Macaca mulatta: one gene and its partners. The protein of the gene in region 4 interacts with the protein of the main gene of each other region in a biochemical or structural test. Links are inferred from orthologs where the notes say so. Each region holds a gene or a part of one and is shown on either strand. Other genes may lie near its edges.

Region 1 (4,783 bases), about 13 Mb from region 4:
GTGTGTGTGTGTGTGTGTGTGTGTGTGTGGTGGGGGGGTGCTGTTTCTCAAAAGCATATTTCAAAAATTGGAGGCCAAGTAAACTTCTGGTCACATTTTTGAGGGTTTGTTTTTTCCCAGCAATGAACGCTCTAGTTCAAATATACTTCGTAAATTTTGAACAGATAATAAAAAGTTGATTGTAAAACTCTACATTTAAAAAGAGCTTTAAAAACACATTTTCATTTTTTAAAAAATCAAACATCTTGCAGCAGAAATTAGACACAATCAAGGGAAAACTACCAGCGTCCTACCAGTCACAACCCTAGAGAAAATGCCACAGGTCGTCCAAAAAACGCATTCATTTGAGCCAACAGCTCTTTCCTCCCGCCAAAGCTATCCCTCGAACGTCAGAAGCTGACCCAAGGAGTGATTGATGATTTCTCCTTTTTGATTCCCCCTCACCCCCGCCACTCCCAATCCACCTGCTTTAAGGTGTCAACGCGACTACAAACGGTTAACAGTGACCAGCAGCAGAGAGAAACAAACGTCCCTGACAACCCACAGCTGAGTAAGCAAGAGCTGTTTATTCACCAACGTGTTCCATTTGGAGACTGTCGGCGAGCCCTGGAAAGCCCAAGCACATTAAGGTTCCTGGAGAGGGAGAGAATCATCTTTCCTTCCCCCCACTCCCCAGCCCCAAACACACACTGAGAGACTCGGGTGGAAGCCGTCTGGTCCAGGCAGTCCCGACTTGCCCGCCCCCTCAAGAAAAACCTCACGCACCAAAGCAGCCGACCCCTTGCGGGGGTGGTGTAATTCCCCCAAAATGGGCTCTGCCGCAGGAGAGGCTGGCTGCAGCGCCGGGGGCTTCGGAAGGAGTTACTGCCACCCCCAATGCCGCCACTGCCCGCCCTGACGCCACGGCCGGGGCTGGGGACCCTGATGAGAAATGGCCCTTCAGCCCCCTCCCCTCACCTGGCTCGGTCCCACCTGAGGGCTAGAGCGGAGGCAAAAAGAAACAGGCAGGGAGGGCTGACCTTGTTGCTACTGACAGTGGAGCGGCGCATCCTGCTGCTTCCTGGAAAGCGGCCCGAAAGACATTTTTTGCCCCTGGAGGAAGGAAACGGGAGGGCGCCGGCCGGACGGCGGCGGGCGCGGAGGCGTTGGTCCGGGCAGGCTGTGCAGCCTCTAAGCAGGGACGGTCCGAGGACTACATCTCCCAGGCTGCTTTGGGCCGCCCTGCGTCGTAACCCCGGCGCGCACGGAGGCGGTGACTCTTACCTCACAAAGGTAGCTCCTCCGCCGGCAGCAACTCGGCGCCCGCGGTCCATGGACCGGAACCTCGGGCCGACGGACAGGAACCCGGGCCGCGATCGCCGCCTCCCCGCCTCAGGCTCCTCCTCCTCGTTCTCCGCCGCCTCCACCGGACGCCCGCAGGCCCCGCACCGCCGCCGCCCGGCTAGCGCAGCTGCCCCGGGAAGCTGGGTGACTGGTTCGCGGCTGCCGCCGGACTGCGGCCTACTCCGCTGTCTCTCAGTGCTATTGTCCCTGGGCCTGGCCTTGAGCGGGTCCACTGGGGAGGGCCGAGTGCGCCGGCTCCGCGGAAGATGCCGGACCAAGCCTTACAGCAGATGCTGGACAGGTACGGGCAGCTGTTGGGGGGGGACCGGGAGCCGCCGACCCTCGCTCTGGCCCTGCCCGCGCCCGCCCTCGAGGCTCTTGGTGAGCAGAACTCGGCGTGCCGGGAGGAGTTCCACGGCCGGGGGGCCGTGAGAGGGGCAGAAAGTTTGGAGTCTAGACTTGGGGAGGACAGAACGAGCGGCCTGGGTCGTAGACTTTGGGTGAAACTTAGCTAAGGAGTGGCGTCTGGTTTCTTTGGAACCCCGTTTTGACGTGAGAGGGACCCATGTTAATCCACAAAATTAGTTTTCCTTACCCTCCTCGCCTCCCCCTTCCTCCCTCCCCAACTTGTAAAGTGTCAGCGATGTCACTGGCAAGAAGAACCGGGTTATCTTTCAGGAGAATGACCCCCTTACAATTTTAAGTCTCTGTCTGAGAACCAATGATAAACATTCTTTTAGAAAGCCTGATAGGCTGATTTCGTTCTCTCCCCTTTCCCTGAGCCCGCACCACCCTCCCCCCGCCCCATCCCGTCCCCACCTCCGAACTGTAAGGTCAGAGTATCCGCAAGGGAGCTTTAACGGTCAGACCAAAGTAGAGGTTATGGAAAACAGCCAAATGAGTCCAATGCTGAACACTTAGTGTACTTGGCGATCGTTGGGTTCATTGAAAACGTTTCAGCTCGTACAGGAGTCCAGTTGCCCATTCTTGGGGGGCCCCAGTCTGTAAAACTCTTTGTGAAGTCGGGTGCACCGCCCTCTGCTGTTGAAATTCTAGTCCGTGGGTTCTACCATGAGTTTTGGGAGACTCTAGATCCACATTTCCCCCCAGCTGAGTCTTACTTTCTGGCATAGCAAGTTGTACAAGCTAATTCATAATGTTTGTGGTTGCTTACAATTCTCAGCAGACATCACTTGCCACCCATTTCAGCAGGTGGTACCAACTCTTTGTACTCAGTAAAATTCCAACTGTAAGGTGTTAAATGAAGGCCCTCCCTTGAGTTTATACCCAGTTAAATGCTGTTTGGGTCTGCCACACCCAGAACACAAGTGACCCAAGTGTACACATCCTTCCAGAGTGACAGACATTTTCTTGGAGCTTAGAATTTTGAGCCATCTCAGTTGATAGAAATTATGTCACTAATTTTTTTCAGTTGAGGTAACTGGTGATTCATCCAGCCCTTGTTTCAGGTCAACATTCTGACAATTGTATTGACCACCCTTTTATGTATGTGTGTGGTTTATAAGCTCTTGGAAGGCAGAAACTTACTCACTATTTATCTTGAATCCCAGAACAGAGCCTGGTACTCAGTAGGTAATCAGTAAGTATTTGCTGTATGAACTGACGCACAAAGTTATTTGTCAGTTTCCCCAGTTGTCTAGGGGTCTGATAATTTACCAGGTTTTCCTTTCATTGTAAATTGGCAAATTAAAATATGCCCAGAGGAGACCACCTGCCACTGCCAGTTCTGTTCTGTTGAAACCCTGTTTTGATGCAGGGTATTTTGTAATTAATTTTTTCCTCTGAGGGCCTCCTTTCATTTTTACATAGTGACTTTTTTTCTTCTTTTTTTGAGACAGGGTCTCTGTTGCCCAGACTGGAATGCAGTGGCAGTGGCAGTGGTCTGATCTCAGCTCACTGCAACCCCTGCCTCCCGGGCTCAGGTGATCCTCCTACCTCAGCCTCCCTAGTAGCTGGGACCACAGCACATACCACCATACCCAGCTAATTTTTTGTATTTTTATAGAGCCGGAGTTTTGCCATGTAGCCCCTGCTGGTCTCAAACTCCTGGGCTCAAGTGATCCAAGTGATCCTCCCGCCTAGCCTCCCAAAGTGCTGTGTCGTCAAGCATGAGCTATCGCGCCCGGCCTAGAAAAGTTCTTATGTCCAAAAGCTGACCTGGCTTTTCATATGCTCTTTGGAGATTTCCATAAAAGTAAGAAGCCAAAGAATGAGGCTGGGCACAGTGGCTTACCCCTGCAATCCCAGCACTTTGGGAAGCCAAGGCGGGCAGATTACTTGAGGTCAGGCGTTCGAGACCAGCCTAGCCAACATGGTGAAAACCCTGTCTCTACGGGAAAAAAAAAAAAAAATTAGGCAGGCATGGTGGCATGGGCCTGTAGTTCCAACAGGAGGCTGAGGCATGAGAATTGCTTGAACCTGGGAGACGGAGGTTGCAGTGAGCCGAGATTGCACCATTGCACTCCAGCCTGGGTGACAGAGCAAAACTCCATCTCAAAAAAAAAAAAGCTAGTGAGGCATTTAAACCTCAACAGAAATGTGAAGATTCTGGCTGCCATTTACTGAAATAGGTGACTATGACACTGGCTTACTTTCATCTTTGTACTCTTTTGACATATCTTAAAGTAGATTTTTAACATGACTTTCAAAGACCTTTATTGTCTAGATTAGTAGTTGGCAACCTGTTTCCATGTTAGAATTACCTGGGGAACATTTCAAAATATGCATGGATGCTGGATCCTGTCTAAGACCAGTAAGATCAAAAATTTCTGTAGGGTAGAGCTTGGGCATCTATATTTTAAAACTTTTTAAATGTTTCAGATATGGCTGAAACCTACTGCCCTAAGTCCTAAGGCAGTGATATCTTTCAAGATAAGAGATAATAAGGCATAGTGATTAAAGCTTGGGCTCAGAGATAGAAAGCATGAAATTCAAATTTTGCCACTTACTAGCTATGTGACTTTGAATTTAGATTCTGACACTATGTATATGATCATTTATAAAATGGGAACCCTACTTCACAGGGCTACAGCAAATGAAAACATACATCTCTGTAAAACAACAAAACACTCTGTGTTAGCCCAATAGAAGGCACTTAAGACTAATGTAAACCCGTTTGGCCGTTTTTCCCCCATCTACTTTATGTTTAAAGTTTTCTTCATCTGGGCTGGCCCTACTGCAAGTTGAACACAAAGATACTCAACATGGTTCACTTGAGGAATACCAACAGGGCCAAAAGACTAAAATATGTCAGCCTATTAGGACCCAGAATTCTTTTCATGAATTTGACTTCTCCTCAACCTGGTTTTTGGTGGCAATTTTTGAGGGACAGAATTTAGCTCAGATAACTGTTCGTTTGTTTGTTTCTTGAATGCAGGTTTTATCTTTGTGAAGACTAGGGAAATGTGTGTTACATATTGTTCTGTTGCTTTTAGGTTAA
Region 2 (4,551 bases), on a different chromosome or scaffold from region 4:
GCTTGAGGGTGAGATAAGGGTGTTACCTCAGAGGTATCAGGAAAAATTCCTTAAAGATGAGAACTGAGCTGAGTTTTGGGAGACAGAGAGAATTAGGTAAAAGTGGAGTTGGGGGTTGCGTAGGAGTTCCCGTATCTTGTGGCGGAACTTCCAGCAGTTTCAGAGTGCCAAGACATCAATCTGTCAATGTAAGCAGCGGAGAGACCTGGAAGGACTTTCTAGGCTGTTTTATATATTTCCATTTTAGTATCCATATCCCTATGCTTATTTTAAAAACTTGTCCATAGATCCTTACTACACTGGTAGCTCACTGATGCTAAGGACTGCCCAGCATAATAATGGGAATATGGTAGTTCCTCAAAAATTAATGCAGAAATGAAATAACAAACGGGAGAATGACAAGTAACGGCATTGTGAGCACTCTCCAGTGATGAAGTCATCTGGATAGCGGGGATGTGAGGAAGGGGGCCTATACCAGGTTAGACGGAGACCTACTCAGCATATTAACTAATGGTGAGGCAAGTTTAGTAAGCCTCACATCTCAGAAATAAAATCAGAGAGAGGAATGTTGGGAGTTTCAAACTGCTTTCCTAGCGAGAAGGTGAAAAAACACAAAATGTAGTGGGGTGCAGTGCCTCATGCCTGTAATCCCATTTTGCTGAGGTGGGAGGATTGCTTGAGGCCGAGTACGAAATCAGCCTGGGCAACATAGCGAGACCCTTGTCTCTACAAAAGAAAAAAATGTGAAATTAGTGGCAAGCGCCTGTAGTTCCAGCTACTGGGATGAGGAGGGCGGAACGCTGGAGGCTGCAGTGAGCTACGATCGCTCCACTGCACTCCAGCCTGGGCGACAGGGCGAGACCTTTTCTCAAATAGAGATAGGCAGACAGACTTCAGAATGTATTAGGGTTTGTAATTTCCAGGTTCCAACGAACAGCAAGGGAAAGGGCCTGGCTGGGTAGTACGTTACACCCGGAAGTAAAGGGACGAATACACCTTTGGGTGCACTTTGTAGTCTGGCTGGCAAACAAGCAACACGGACGCGTAGAGTTAAGTGCTGGGACTTCCCAAGCCTGGAAAGCAAGCTGTGTCTCTGCGACTACGCGGCTGCCACCAGCGCTGAGCGGCCGGTTTTTGGCCTCGAGGAGGAGGCACTGTAAGGGCGGCGCGGAGAGGGCGGAACGCGGGACGCAGGCACCCTAGCTCCCGACGGACGCAATTTTCAGTCGCACGGGCGAGCTCCGGTGCGAGCTGCGGAGCGACTCCCCTTCGCCGAGTGGGCGGCCTGGCTGTCTGGAAAGAAGGGCTGGGGCCTGCCGTTCCGCCCGCGGAGCATCCTCCCCAGCTGGACGACCCCACGCTGCAGCACGGGCTTCCGGCTTCTCTCCTCAGTGGCCAATTCGAGGGAACAGCGGGCTCCGGAGGCGCGGCGGCAAGCCTATCCCGCCTCCTAGCCACAGCCTCCAGCACCCGAGAGAACCGCCGTCCGCGGCACACTTTTTCCGGGAAGGAGGCGGAAGGCCCGGGACTTGGAGGACAGGTGGGTTCGAGGGAAAGATCTGGGTCCCACCACTACTTCCTGGAGACGCCGGGGAAAGCAGGCCATCCTTCGAGCCACCCATCTCTTCTCCGATTGGTTAACTGCCCTCTTAATGCGCTCCGCTGGCTGGAGATTGGTTGGGATGCACCGTCTATCACCTGCTTCCCTGTGGGAATCTAGGTCGCTAAGGGAAGCGTTACTTGAGGCTCGGTTGGGAAGAGGTTGGTTGGGCCCCTTGAGCCCACTCTGTTTATCATACTGGGGATCGTCCCCCGGCGCGAGCTTCCGTCGCAACGGCCAGGAAAGAAACCAGTAGCGGGACGGAGGGCGGGGGTGGCAAGAAAGTCAAGGTTTAGAAGTAAGCCAGAGACGCCTAACCCTGGTAACATCCGAATGGGAACGGGATAGGAAGGAAGGCCTTTGAGAGAGGAGGCGTAAACCCAGGAGCAGTGACAGTGTAGGACGAAAGGCCTAAGTTTGTTGCGGGAGGTAGGGGCCTTGCGGGAGGTGTTCATGACCTAATTGTATGGGGATCTAATTTTCTAGATGTGTCTAACAAAATCCACTGGAGAATTTGCTTTGGCTTTGCAGCAGAGTGGGGAGACTCCCACCCGTTCCTGGCCTTCAAAGAGACAGTTTATTGAATTATTCACCTCTCTTTTATTGCTTCAGATGGGCAACTCTCAAAAAAGGTACAAACAATTGAAGGATGGATACCATGGCATATGGTAAAAGCATGTCGAAAGGAAAATAAGGTATTCGCTTTGTTTTCATGGTGATTAATTGTATAAGAAAATTACCTTTAAGGAGAAGCTGTTACGTTTTAAATAATATTAGGGTAGCTTGATTTTATGATAGGTTTCTGTAAAGTTATTTATTACAAAAATCCTATTATTGCTGTACCTACGAAATATGCTCTTTGCTAATTACGGTCCTAATCTGAAGATAGAAATCTTGAGTTTTTAGTAGTGTTAATTCGTATTTGAGTGGATAATGTTACTAGGTCATTTGTTCAAAATGACAAAATAACCACAGTGAAAAAAATCCTTGAATTTGTAATTTAGTGTTACAGGTGAAATTGAATAGTTGCCTACTCCTACAGTGTTTTAGACTTCTAGGCTAATTTCACCTTATATTTAAAGCAGCTTGCTTATTAAACACCTGGTGTATTTCGAGAGGCGGAGTTGCACAGTTGCTTCACTGGTAGCCTAGCCATTTGAGCCTCCAGCCTCTACTGAATCAGGTGCTGTATCACTCATACCCTTTAGTGACATGCCAGAGGTTGTTGAGGAATAGTTTATTTCATCTGTAGAACACCCAAATTAGCTCTTAACAGCAGACCTGGTCCTACCCTGGAAAACTCTAATCAAGGATTGGGGATGAGATTTGGGCATCTGGATTTTTAAAAATGTCCTTAAGTGAGTTTGAGAACCATTGCTTTAGTGTGACTTACTAAATAGATATGTTTAAGAAATTTTAAAATATTTATGAAACAAACATCTTTCTCCCTTGATTTCCTTATCGTTTAAAAGCGAGCTTCTCAGGAGTGACATTTAAATATAATTCAAAAACAGTGTTTTCTTAGGCAAAGTTAGGAAGTTTCACTGGCACTCTGAAACTCCTGGGACTAACCATTCCAGGCTTAAGGATGAGGCTTGTTATGGGGAGATACAAAGTGCTCTGATGCACTTTCACAATCCTTGAGCCATACATGATGTCTTGTTTCCTGTTGGGTTTCAAAGTCTTCCTGGTAGGCTTTAACGAGAGATCACCTCCCAGTCTGTTCAGTAGATATTAATTAGGCTAAATGATTTTTACCTCAACAAAGTGCAGTGGGGGATAATATTACATTCATGAGCCTTATTTTGGAAAGAATACCTTGCTGAAAATAAATGTAAATTATATCATCCCAATACCCCTTTGCTCATTAAGTGAAGAATGTGCATAATTCAAGCCTAAAATTTGTAATTAATGTGAAGTACCCAGATACTGAAACATAAATGAGGACTTCTGGATCAACTTTTCCAGATCATTAGCCGGGTCAAAAATGAGATAATCACTATGGTATTCAGGCATGAGCATTGTGTGGTAAACCCAAATCCAGTCTGACTTAATGGCTTTAGGCAAAGAAGTAGCTCCAATTGTGTTGTATTTCCTAGAAGTTGTTTTTCATTTTATATGTAAGGTTCTCACTGCAAGACTTGGCAAATACAGTATTTGGGTAGGGGACAACATTTAAAAATTAAAAACTGTAAGTTATAAATACAAAGCTAAATGTGGTCCATGACTTAACACCTTGAATTTTGTTTATATTGTTTGAACAGAAAGCCAGGAATCTCAGGATGAATCAGTCTACATCTAGATCAGATGGTGGCAGTGAAGAAAGCTTATCTCAAGACCATAATCATCATGAAAATGAGAGAAGATGGCAGCAAGAGCGTCTCCACAGAGAAGAGGCCTATTATCAGTTTATTAATGAACTCAATGATGAAGATTATCGGCTTATGAGAGACCATAACCTTTTAGGCACCCCTGGTAAGAGATCGGTAAAAGAGGAGACACCTTTTTCCATCATTAGGTGGAAGGATTTCAAGATAAGGAGAATTGGTATTCTTTTTCCCTGTTTCTCTTTATGAAAATATAGTATATTGTTTTTGTGAGTTTAAGAACTTTTTAGTGTAATAAAGTAGAAAATCCCTGGCTTCTGTATTTTATAAGGTGAAAATATGGGACATGGAGCACTGTTACACAAATGCCAAACTAAGAAACAGGTTAATGTACATAATGGTGTTAAGTATTTACATATATGGTCCTATTTGTAATTTTTATACAAATAAAATATGACTTGGCTGGGTGTGGTGGCTCACGCCTGTAATTCCAGCACTTTGGGAGGCCAAGGTGAGTGGATCACCTGAGGTCAGGAGTTCGAGACCAGCCTGGCCAATATGGTGAAACCCCATCTCTATTGAAAATACAAAAAATCAGCCGGGCGTCGTGGTGCGTGCCTGTAA
Region 3 (4,659 bases), on a different chromosome or scaffold from region 4:
TCAGCTACTTCAGCCAAGGTAAGTGCATTTGCAGTTGATGCAGATCATAAGTTATGCAGGTAAGTCATTAAAATGGCATAATTATCTTTCACATTCATTTTTTCTTTGCTTGTTTGGTTACTAAAAAGGTGTATTAAAATTGTCCACTAAGAGTCTGGAGTTAGGATTTTCTATTTTTATCAGTTGTGTATCTGATACAACATTATTAAATGTATACAAAATTTGAACAGTTATATATTCCTGTGAATTACAATTTAATGTTTATGTATCATTCCTTTTTATCTCCAGCAAAGTGTTTATCCTTACCATAAACATTGTCTACAATCAAGACAGTCACAGCACCTGTTTGGTTTTTTTTCCCATCTTACTACTTTGAATGCTTCTGTATTTTTATGTTGTGTGTATTTTAAATAGGATGTTTCATTTTGATTGTAATGAAGTCTTATAGCCTTTGACTTTCAGTCTTTAAACTGCTTTCATTTAATCTAAGTTGTATGTAAATTTTCTATATTACTCTTACACTTAGTTTTTAGTGCTTTCTATATTTTATTATCTTTCCATTATTTTATTCTCACTGGTTTTAGTATTTTTGTTCTATTTTCCCTTTTATAATCTTGTTACTTTTATGTTGAAATCTTTTGTCTAAAGCCCCTTGTTGGGAAAGTCTAGAGACTTTGTATATCAAATACAAAGCACTGTGCCTCTGAGCCTAGGATTTGCTGTTACAAAGAATTATTGAGAAGGTGGCAAAACTGCGTAGGAACACAATTTCTGTTTTTATAGAGTGAGCTATTAATGCCATTGTAAGAATTACCAATATAGTGCTTTGTAAGTCCTCTTAAGATCTGCATCTGTTACATTTGGCCAGACCCACTTGAACAGTCCTTTTCATTAGATGCTAATTACTGGCTTCTGTGCAAGGGACAGAATGATTATTCACACAACTCACATCCACACAACAGCCAATCCTGTTAGGCTTTGACCTTCAGCTTTCGGCTCTGTATTTACTTTATTACATAAACATAAATATTGTGATGTATATTCTTTTATATATATTTTCAAATACATAGCTCTTATACATATATATTATATATATATCATTCTTAAATATATATTTCCAAATATAAATTATTTCATGTCAAGCTAAACAGGATAAAAACATGTAAACATATACACTTGGTTTTGGTCAAGTAAAACACAAAATCACAAGTTCATCACAGTTTAACAAGTGCACTTGAAGGGGAAGGAGGGAAAGAACAAACTGTAAACAGATGAGCAGCTGCAAGACCCTGCGAGGGTCCATTTGTTAAGGCTATTATAGCACAAAGCTACTAGTTCAATTAAAACTTCTCCTTTCACTCTGCCACATTTACTCTTGAGGGTCTTCAAAATAAGTGTGGAAATTCAGTAAACACTACACTAGAACTGAGTTAATCCTGTTGAAAACAGAGATGACAAAAAAAGCCATAAGCTGACATTAATATTAATTTCACCAAAACAGTAACTTTAAGGACTTATTTTTTTAAACACAGATAATCACCATAATCCTAGGAGGAAAGATATGCAGAATAGACAAGAAAACAGAAGCACTGCCTCAACAGCCCCTGAAAGCAATAAGAGTGTCAACACAGGGAAAACAGGCAATAGCAGACGACAGAACCTCAGCAGACTAGACCACATGCCACAGCACAATGCTACAGATTCAAATTGAAATATTCTTCCAGCTCATAATGAAGCAAGTCCCACTGGTCCTCAGAGAAGGGTAACTCATCTCTCAGTAAAAGAAACCGCTTAAACAACAGACTGGCCAGTCGAAGCACGACAAGCTCCTTCTTACGGCTTTTATAGAGCATGTCGCCCTCTCCCATTCGCACAGGCTCCACAAGTTGATGCCAGTATGCGCCGAATGACCCACCACCTGGCCCAGGAGGCTCATCTCCCCAGCCCTCAGGGTATTCATGCTTGTAAAAGCATGTGTCTCCAAATGGGCAGTTACCCCTGCCTTCCGCAAAATACCTGCAGGCCTTGTTGCTCATTGCCTCCTTGTATTGCTGAATAAGTTTCTGCTTCTCTTCCTCCTCCTCCACCCAGAACTCACTGGGAACGACCAAGTCGGAGGTGACCCTGCACTGCGGGCAAGACTTGATGATCCTGTTATCAAACTGTCTGGCACTTCTCCACCTGCGGATACACCTAATACAGAAGGTATGGTTGCAATTGGAAAGAATGCCAAAGCGGCGGTCATTGGGGTTGGCTTTCTCATAGACAACCTCCATGCAGATGCCACACACCTTGTCCATACCACGCTGCACAGCAAACGAGAGTTCCATATCTTTCTCGTGTGCTTCAATGCAGGCCCTTATATGGTCTTCCCTCTGGGCAGCATCCATGGGGTGCAAGGCCTGCAGCCCACACATGTCGCATATGTCTCCATGGAGGAACATACAGCTCTCCCCACGAAAGCAAACTCCCCTGGAAGCATAATAGCAAAACCGCAACCCCCTGCCCACAGCCATCTGCTTCCTCTCAGTCTCTGAGCTCTGTGGAGGAGCCTCGGGGGCAGATGCAACCCAGCGGCCCCGGTAGGGCTGCCCTGGAACAAACTCAATGGCATCCGCCCAGCTTTCTACACCTGCTCCTCCAGCAGCTCCACGGTCTGCATTGTCTCTCTCGGCTTCAAAGAAACCCCTTTCAGCAGCCGAGCCAATCACAGGCAAGGAAAGGGAGGATGCAGCCGGGGGGGCTTCCGCCACTTCCTGAGTCGGGGGCTCGATGTGCGCAGCCGTGCTAGGGCCTCCACCTGCAGAGGCCCCAGGCGGCGAAACGCTGCCCTCAGTGGCCATCTTCCGACCAGAAAGGTCGTGGGAATAGCGACAGTTCTCCCCCTCCTTGCACTGCCCATGTATATAATACCTGCAGATGATCTGCTTTGTCCAAATGCCGCTGCTTCGGCTTGGAAACGGATTGCGCCATGCTCCTCCTCCTGAGGCTGGTGCAGGCCTCAGGCCTCCTGTGCGGAGGTGGGCAGGGACTGGAGCTACAGGGAAGGGGGCCCAGCCCACAGGCGCATGTGGCAGGGCCGAATCTGGAGCAGCAGATTCCCTGGAGGGCTCACAGACGGGAAGGTCCGGCCCGGACACACCCTCCCCTGCTGCCTCAGCACCTGCCTGGGCCCCGGCTGCCTCCTGGGCTTCTGAGGGAGCTGCAGGCTCTTCCATGGCAGCTTCTTTACCCCGAAATGGTGCCAGAACGTCTCCGGTATTTTTTCTTTATGGGCTTGAGGCCCGGAGTCGCGGCCGCGCTCGGAGGCTTCTCTAGGGGAAGTGTGCATCTCTTTTTCTTCCCCCCCGGTTCTTGGCTGCCTGTGACTGTGTGTTCCTACCTACTTCCGGGCACAGGCAGCGCGGCGGACACTTCCTGTGGGGGCAACGTACGCGCCGCGCTTGGATTTTACCGCAATTTTCCAATCTGACATATTTTTTGTTCACACAGGCAGGGACCAACCCAGCCCCTTTTGTCTGCCTTCTGCCTCTGCTTCGCTGTGTTCCGGCAGCCCCTAATTCCCTCCTCACACCGTTTCCTCAGGAGAATGAGGTTTTACTTTAATCTCTTTTGGTTTCAGTCATGCACGTCTTCGTTGTATTTTCGTATCTGTCTGCTTTAAAAAAATTAGAATCCAATAGATTCTGAAACATTTCATACATGAATTAGATAAATCCTTTTTTGATTCACTCCATCTTATGTCTGCGTTTTTTTTTTTTTAATGCCCTGTCACTGCTGGAAGATTTTTTCGATTTGCTCTGTTGACAAAGCGTCGTTTCTTTTGGTCTTTGTTTTCTGGGATTTCTGAGGGCTTACGCAGGATACGCTTTTCACCAGCAAGGCATTAGCAGACAGCGCTTCTGATCCGAGGCTAAGTTAGCACCTTTCAGATGTCTTTCTTTATTGTGATTACTATGCTCGTTTTCCCACTGTGTAGAAGCCCCAGACTTCAATCATTCCTGATGCTGGCTGAATAAGGCACTGTCCCCTGCATGACCCAGGCTTTTATTTTCTCTACTGGTTTAATTCATGGCAGCCCTTTGTTTCTCTTGCTTTCTTTCAACCCCATCTGTGCTGTGTTGTGGCATACTATCCACAAAGGAATGGTCTTTAATTTCCATATATAAGCGTTTTGTCATTTTTGCAGATACGTGTAGTGGATTAATCATTTTTTTGTATTCCTACTTTGCTGAGAGTACGTATCATGACTGCATACTGAATTCTGTCATGTAGTTTTATATATTTTTTGAGATAATCTTGTTTTTCCCTTTATTCTCTTAATGTGATTATTTGCAGCTATGAGTTTCAAATATTTAACTGACCAATTTGTTTCTAATAAGAAGCCCTTCTGTGTCATGATATATCGTTTTATATATTATTGGATTTTTTTTTTTTCTGTAAGTTTCTTTGAGGAAATTTTGTTGCCTAAATCTGTAAAGTGGAAACATATCTGAATATTTATAATCACCCAAGTCAACAAATTAAATTATAATTAGGTAGGTAAAAGCAAAGAAAGCAGAATGAAGCAAATAATAAGGCCAAGAAAAGCAATGAAGAAAAACAAATATTAAATAAGGGAAATAAATTAAGTAAAATCCTTTAAACAGCTTATTGAAG
Region 4 (5,087 bases):
TTCTAGTATAAAAATGTATTTTAAGCATTGATATCTCCATGCTCTGTCTTCACATACAGTTTTAATCCAATCATCTTTATTCTTTTTCATAGTGAAGAAATGTGAAATCATGAACTTCTTAACGTTCTCAAATATGCCAAGCCAATTAAGAGATTATTGGCCGGGTGTGACGGCTCACACCTGTAATCCTAGCACCTTGGGAGGCCGAGGCAGGTGGACTGCCTAAGCTCAGGAGTTCGAGACCAGCCTGGGCAACACAGTGAAACCCCATCTCTACTAAAATACAAAAAATTAGCCAGGCCTGGCAGCGTGTGCCTGTATAGTCCCAGCTACTCAGGAGGCTGAGGCAGGAGAATTGCTTGAACCCAGGAGGCAGAGGTTGCAGTGAGCCGAGAGCACGCCACTGCACTCCAGTCTGGGAAACAAAGCGAGACTCCATCTCAAACAAACAAACAAAAAAAGATTATCCTAGGACAATGCACTCCTCTATTCCAGGCCTCTGGATCCCTCCTTGAATAAGGACAGGCCAGAACATCAGTGGTTCTCAGTCTTCTTTCCACCCCAACCCATCTGAGGGATTCAACACCTCTCCATTTATAGAAGTGACGACAGTCTGAAAACGTCCCTCAGGTGATTCTAAGACACTACCCTAGAAGCTGTTCCCGTGCTGGTACCCTCTAGTACACTACGGCAGACTTATCTGAGGTTCCACACAGCTCTACAGTCTGCAACTTTAGGTACAGGAAAACTATAGTAACACTTCAATAGGAGCTTAGGAAGAAAGGCCAAAAGTTAGTATACATCTTCATTTGTTGGAACATGAAAGATTCAAATAAGAATGTCTATACTGATGACATCAAAGAAGAAGATGGTATAACTGTTCATATGGCAGGCGGCACAACTGACCTAGAATTGGCTTCTAATCAAGGAGGTAGATAAAGGAGGAGGAAAAATAGGGAATCAATCAAAATAATCACCCCTAAGGTTTGAGGAAACGGTCTGAATGTGTGATTAATGGAAAGACTTGTGTAAGTTAACTTGCCTGATATCAGAAAGGGAAGCCAAAGATGAACGCACAGAGATGTGATGGTATATGATCCCAATTTCTTCTCCAAAATATCGATTTGTCACATGTTTGATATCAATTCCATGTAAGTAATTTTTTTTTTCTGAACAACTCTATAAACTAATAACCAATAAATACTAAAAAGAAAAGATTTGGACACACACATTATAAATACAAATCAAATACACCAGTTCAGCATGGTGATTGACGAGAACTGCCAAGTATGGTATTTACAAACAATGTTCATATTTCTTTGAATATCCACTTACTGTGGACAAATTGCACAGCATTTAAACGCTATTGTTATAGTTGGGTATGGTGACTTGTGCCTGTAATCCCAGACTCTCTGGAGGACAGGAGTTCAAGACCAGCATGGGCAACATACTGAGATCCCCATCTCTTAAAAAAACACAGTGATAATTTAAAAAGCTCTTGTATGTGCAAAATCATGTGAAAAATTCTCACAACTAGGAAAGAAGGAAATAGAATTTGAAAACTTCCTTGGAAGATGTGCATTTTCTGATCCAAATGTGAACCAATATTACGTCGTCATTAATAAGTATGCAAGTTATGGTAAAGAGGCCGACTGAGGCTTCAAAATTAGGATATTTATATAAAACAACGTGTAACTGAACTATCTTCAAACAAGAAAACATTATAACTTAATAAATGCTGATGCTGATTGTTAACTGTATGTTTTACAATGAGACGACCTTTAAATGGGACAAAAAATAACAGGTGATCAACAGATTTAGAATTTGAAAATAAAAAACTGGCAGGCTCTAAAAGTTGCTGTCCTCTGTACCTAAAGATGCCACTAGTGGCTAGTCAGAATACAATGTGTACGTCACTATCACTGCTCTAACATTTACTATTGCTATAATGGACTACTGGTCAAAAAAGTAGATAAAAATGTGGGCATTAATTTCTTCTGAAACAACTACAAAATACACTGACCATTGTTGCTTAACTTAGTGAAAAGCACTCCCTATTTAACAAACACATTCTCAATGTTCCCAGTGTGAACTGTAACTGTAAAACCTAAAACTTGGGTCAGTACACAGACCAACAAGAAATAAAAATGAACAGAAAGAAATGCCCGAATATCAATTCTGAAGGATGTTCGCTTCTGAAATGGTGGCAATAAATACTGTGAAAAAAAGACAATTCCACACACAGGGTTGAGATGGGTGAACAGTTGTTGGATGAAGATACATATTTCTTCCTCATTTTATACCCATGTGTCAAAGCATCAAAACAATCTATTTGCGACAGTTTATGTTGTGTCTCGAACTTTACATCTAAGTTTACCATGAGGGGCAAAAAAAACCTGTTTGGCTTGACTCACCGTGAATCACAGCCAGGAGGTCATCTTGTTGTGTATCAGCAACTATGTTTTCGCTACAGCTATGTGACCTGAAGTGGCAGCAGCAGAGGCACCAAAATAGAAGGGGCAGGAGCCTTCTCTTGGCTTCTTGGCCGCAAATGGGCTTTCCAGCCCATTCGGGCAACTGAGCAAGAGCCAACCGCAGAGGAGAAAGAACCAACCCGACAGCTCCGCGGAGAAAGGCTGCAGGCCCACCCCACCTTCCGTGCCCTCCCGGGGAGCCCGGGTAAGCAAGAACATAAAAGAGACAGGCTTAAGAAACAGCCTGGAGAAAACACAGCATGACAGGGGTCAAAACTAGCCTCATGGAGGGCAAAACCCAGCCGTGACCGTGAAGCACAGATTTCGGGGCGGTCTGGACGCGGAGGAGGCTCTCTACCCTGGGGCTCCGGGAGCGGCCCCGGCGCGAGCGCGCCACGGGCCCCCAGCCTTCAAGCTCCCCCGGCCGCCTGGGATCTGCCCCCGCTCCCACCTAACCTGTCCGGTGCCCGCTGGCCGGGCCCGAGCCTCCAGCTCCCTGCCCGCACCCCGGCCCACCCTTCCATCCCGTGCTTTCCCTGCATATCTCTCGGGACCACTGGCCGAGTCAGCGTGGGCAGGCGCCGCTGCCCTGCTGCCCCGCAGCCCCAGGCCCGGCCCCGGCACTCACTTTCTGAATCCGCTTCAGCGCCATGGATCAGGGATCGCGGTGGGGACACCGGCCGGCAGGGGTCGGCTGCGGGGCTCGGGGGCGTGAGTCTTCGCGAGTTGGGCTCGCTGGCAGCTCAGCTGGCTCCGCGCGGTGGGTCCCCGGTTCGCCGCTCCCTGGCTCGCTCCGGGCGCCGGTCCCTGCTCCGTCTGCGCCCGAGCGCGAGTGTGCGCGAGTGTGCGGGCGGGGAGGCCGGCGAGACTCTTTTGTTTCCGCTTTTGCTTCTGGGAAGGAGCCTGCGCCCTCCCCGCCGCGCCCCGCCCCGCCTGGCATACTGGGAAGTGTAGTTCCAGCCCTGTCCTCGGCCGCAGGCCCCCAGACGCTGCCAGGTTACTTGCTGCTGACCTTAGCCAGGCAGCTTAAGGTGAGAGCTGCCGGGTGCTGGAGTTAGTCTCTACAGTCTCATTTAGAGCAAGTTACTGAACCTGGGGCTGCGCATCTGTAAAATGGGGATAACAAATGAGCTCCTAACGCACATAAAGGAATTTCTAAATCATCAGTTAGTAATTCCTTATCCAATAGGTGCCACAGCTGGTTTTATTATATTTACCTTTAAATATTTCACTGTCTTTTCTCAAATATATGAATTATCTCAATTACTCACCCAGCACACATGCACAAACTCATATCTATCAGACCCCTTACTTACCTCCTTGGTTCTTACTGCAGAGGAAAAAGGTGTCTCTTCTGTCCAATGCACAGATCTTCCGTGTCTGAGTGCATCGTCTGCTCATAGGTATGCCCCTCCCATAAATTACCCGCTTCGAACACCGAGTTCAGAGCTCTCACTCCCATCGTTGACTCCTTCCCTTCCATTGACAGTCTCTGACTAATAGTCAACGCACACTCCCCACTCTCCAATTCCTGGGCACTTGTGTACCCATTAAAACTTGGCTTCTTGGCCGGGCACAGTGGCTCACGCCTGTAATCCTAGGGCTTTGGGAGGCTGAGGCGGGCAGATTACCTGAGGTTGGGAGTTCGAGACCAGACTGGCCAACATGGTGAAATCCCATCTCTACTAAAAATACAAAAATTACCTGGGCATGGTGGTGGGCGCCTGTAATCCCAGCTACTCAGGAGACTGAGGCAGGAGAACCGCTTAATCCCGGGAGGCGGAGGTTGCAGTGAGCTGAGTTGGAGTCACTGCTCTCCAGCCTGGGCGACAGAGTAAGACTCTGTCTCAAAAAGGAAAAAAAAAAAAAGTGAAAACATCAACAGATGTTGGTGACGCTGAGGAGAAAAGGTAACATTTATATGCTGTTAGTGGGAATGTAAATTAGTTCAGCCATCGTGGAAAACAGTTTGGAGATTTCTCAAAGAACTTACAACAAAACTACCATTTGACCCAGCAATCCCATTACTGGTTATATATGCAACTGAAAACAAATTATTCCACCAAAAAGATATATGTTCTCACATGTTCATCAGTACTATTCACAATAGCAAAGACATGGAGTCAACCTAGGTGCTCATTAATGGTGGATTGGATAAAGAAAATGGGGCATACACTGTGGAATACTATGCAGCCATAAAAAAGAATGAAATAATATCCTTTGCAGCAACATAGATACAGCTGGAGGCCATTATCCTAAGTGAATTAATGCAGGAACAGAAAATGAAATACCACATATTCTTACTTATAAGTGGGAGCTAAACATCAGATATGCATTGTATTAGTCCGTTTTCATGCTGCTGATAAAGACATAGCCGAGACTGGGCAATTTACAAAAGAAAGGGGTTTAATTGGACAGTTCCACGTGGCTGGGGAAGCCTCACAATTGTGGCAGAAGGCAAGGAGGAGCAAGTCACACCTTACATGGATGGCGGCAGGCAAAGAAAGAAATGAGAACCAAACAAAAAAGGGTTTCTCCTTACAAAATCATCAGATCTAGGCTAGACATAGTGGCTCATGCCTATAATCCCAGAACTTTGGGAGACCAAAGCAG

The links.
Region 1: the proteins of UBE2D1 (region 4) and MARCHF5 form a complex in vitro, tested with the Homo sapiens proteins (4 studies listed by BioGRID). The link is inferred for Macaca mulatta from reciprocal best matches to the Homo sapiens genes UBE2D1 and MARCHF5.
Region 2: the proteins of UBE2D1 (region 4) and RNF6 form a complex in vitro, tested with the Homo sapiens proteins (2 studies listed by BioGRID). The link is inferred for Macaca mulatta from reciprocal best matches to the Homo sapiens genes UBE2D1 and RNF6.
Region 3: the proteins of UBE2D1 (region 4) and MKRN3 form a complex in vitro, tested with the Homo sapiens proteins (2 studies listed by BioGRID). The link is inferred for Macaca mulatta from reciprocal best matches to the Homo sapiens genes UBE2D1 and MKRN3.

The regions. Positions count from the first base shown.
Region 1 is NC_133414.1:104,261,911-104,266,693, forward strand, and holds the start of MARCHF5 (E3 ubiquitin-protein ligase MARCHF5), read left to right. Parts: upstream 1-1,456; 5' UTR 1,457-1,589; coding exon 1,590-1,624; intron 1,625-4,783. UniProt on the Homo sapiens protein: Mitochondrial E3 ubiquitin-protein ligase that plays a crucial role in the control of mitochondrial morphology by acting as a positive regulator of mitochondrial fission and as an important regulator of immune response.
Region 2 is NC_133422.1:6,335,932-6,340,482, reverse strand, and holds the start of RNF6 (E3 ubiquitin-protein ligase RNF6), read left to right. Parts: upstream 1-1,224; 5' UTR 1,225-1,652; coding exon 1,653-1,761; exon of another isoform or gene 1,762-1,898; intron 1,899-2,212; coding exon 2,213-2,295; intron 2,296-3,864; coding exon 3,865-4,075; intron 4,076-4,551. UniProt on the Homo sapiens protein: E3 ubiquitin-protein ligase mediating 'Lys-48'-linked polyubiquitination of LIMK1 and its subsequent targeting to the proteasome for degradation. Negatively regulates axonal outgrowth through regulation of the LIMK1 turnover.
Region 3 is NC_133412.1:6,385,412-6,390,070, forward strand, and holds the start of MKRN3 (E3 ubiquitin-protein ligase makorin-3), read right to left. Parts: upstream 3,328-4,659; 5' UTR 3,219-3,327; coding exon 1,695-3,218; 3' UTR 1-1,694. UniProt on the Homo sapiens protein: E3 ubiquitin ligase catalyzing the covalent attachment of ubiquitin moieties onto substrate proteins.
Region 4 is NC_133414.1:91,527,254-91,532,340, forward strand, and holds the start of UBE2D1 (ubiquitin-conjugating enzyme E2 D1), read right to left. Parts: upstream 3,330-5,087; 5' UTR 3,127-3,329; coding exon 3,103-3,126; intron 1-3,102.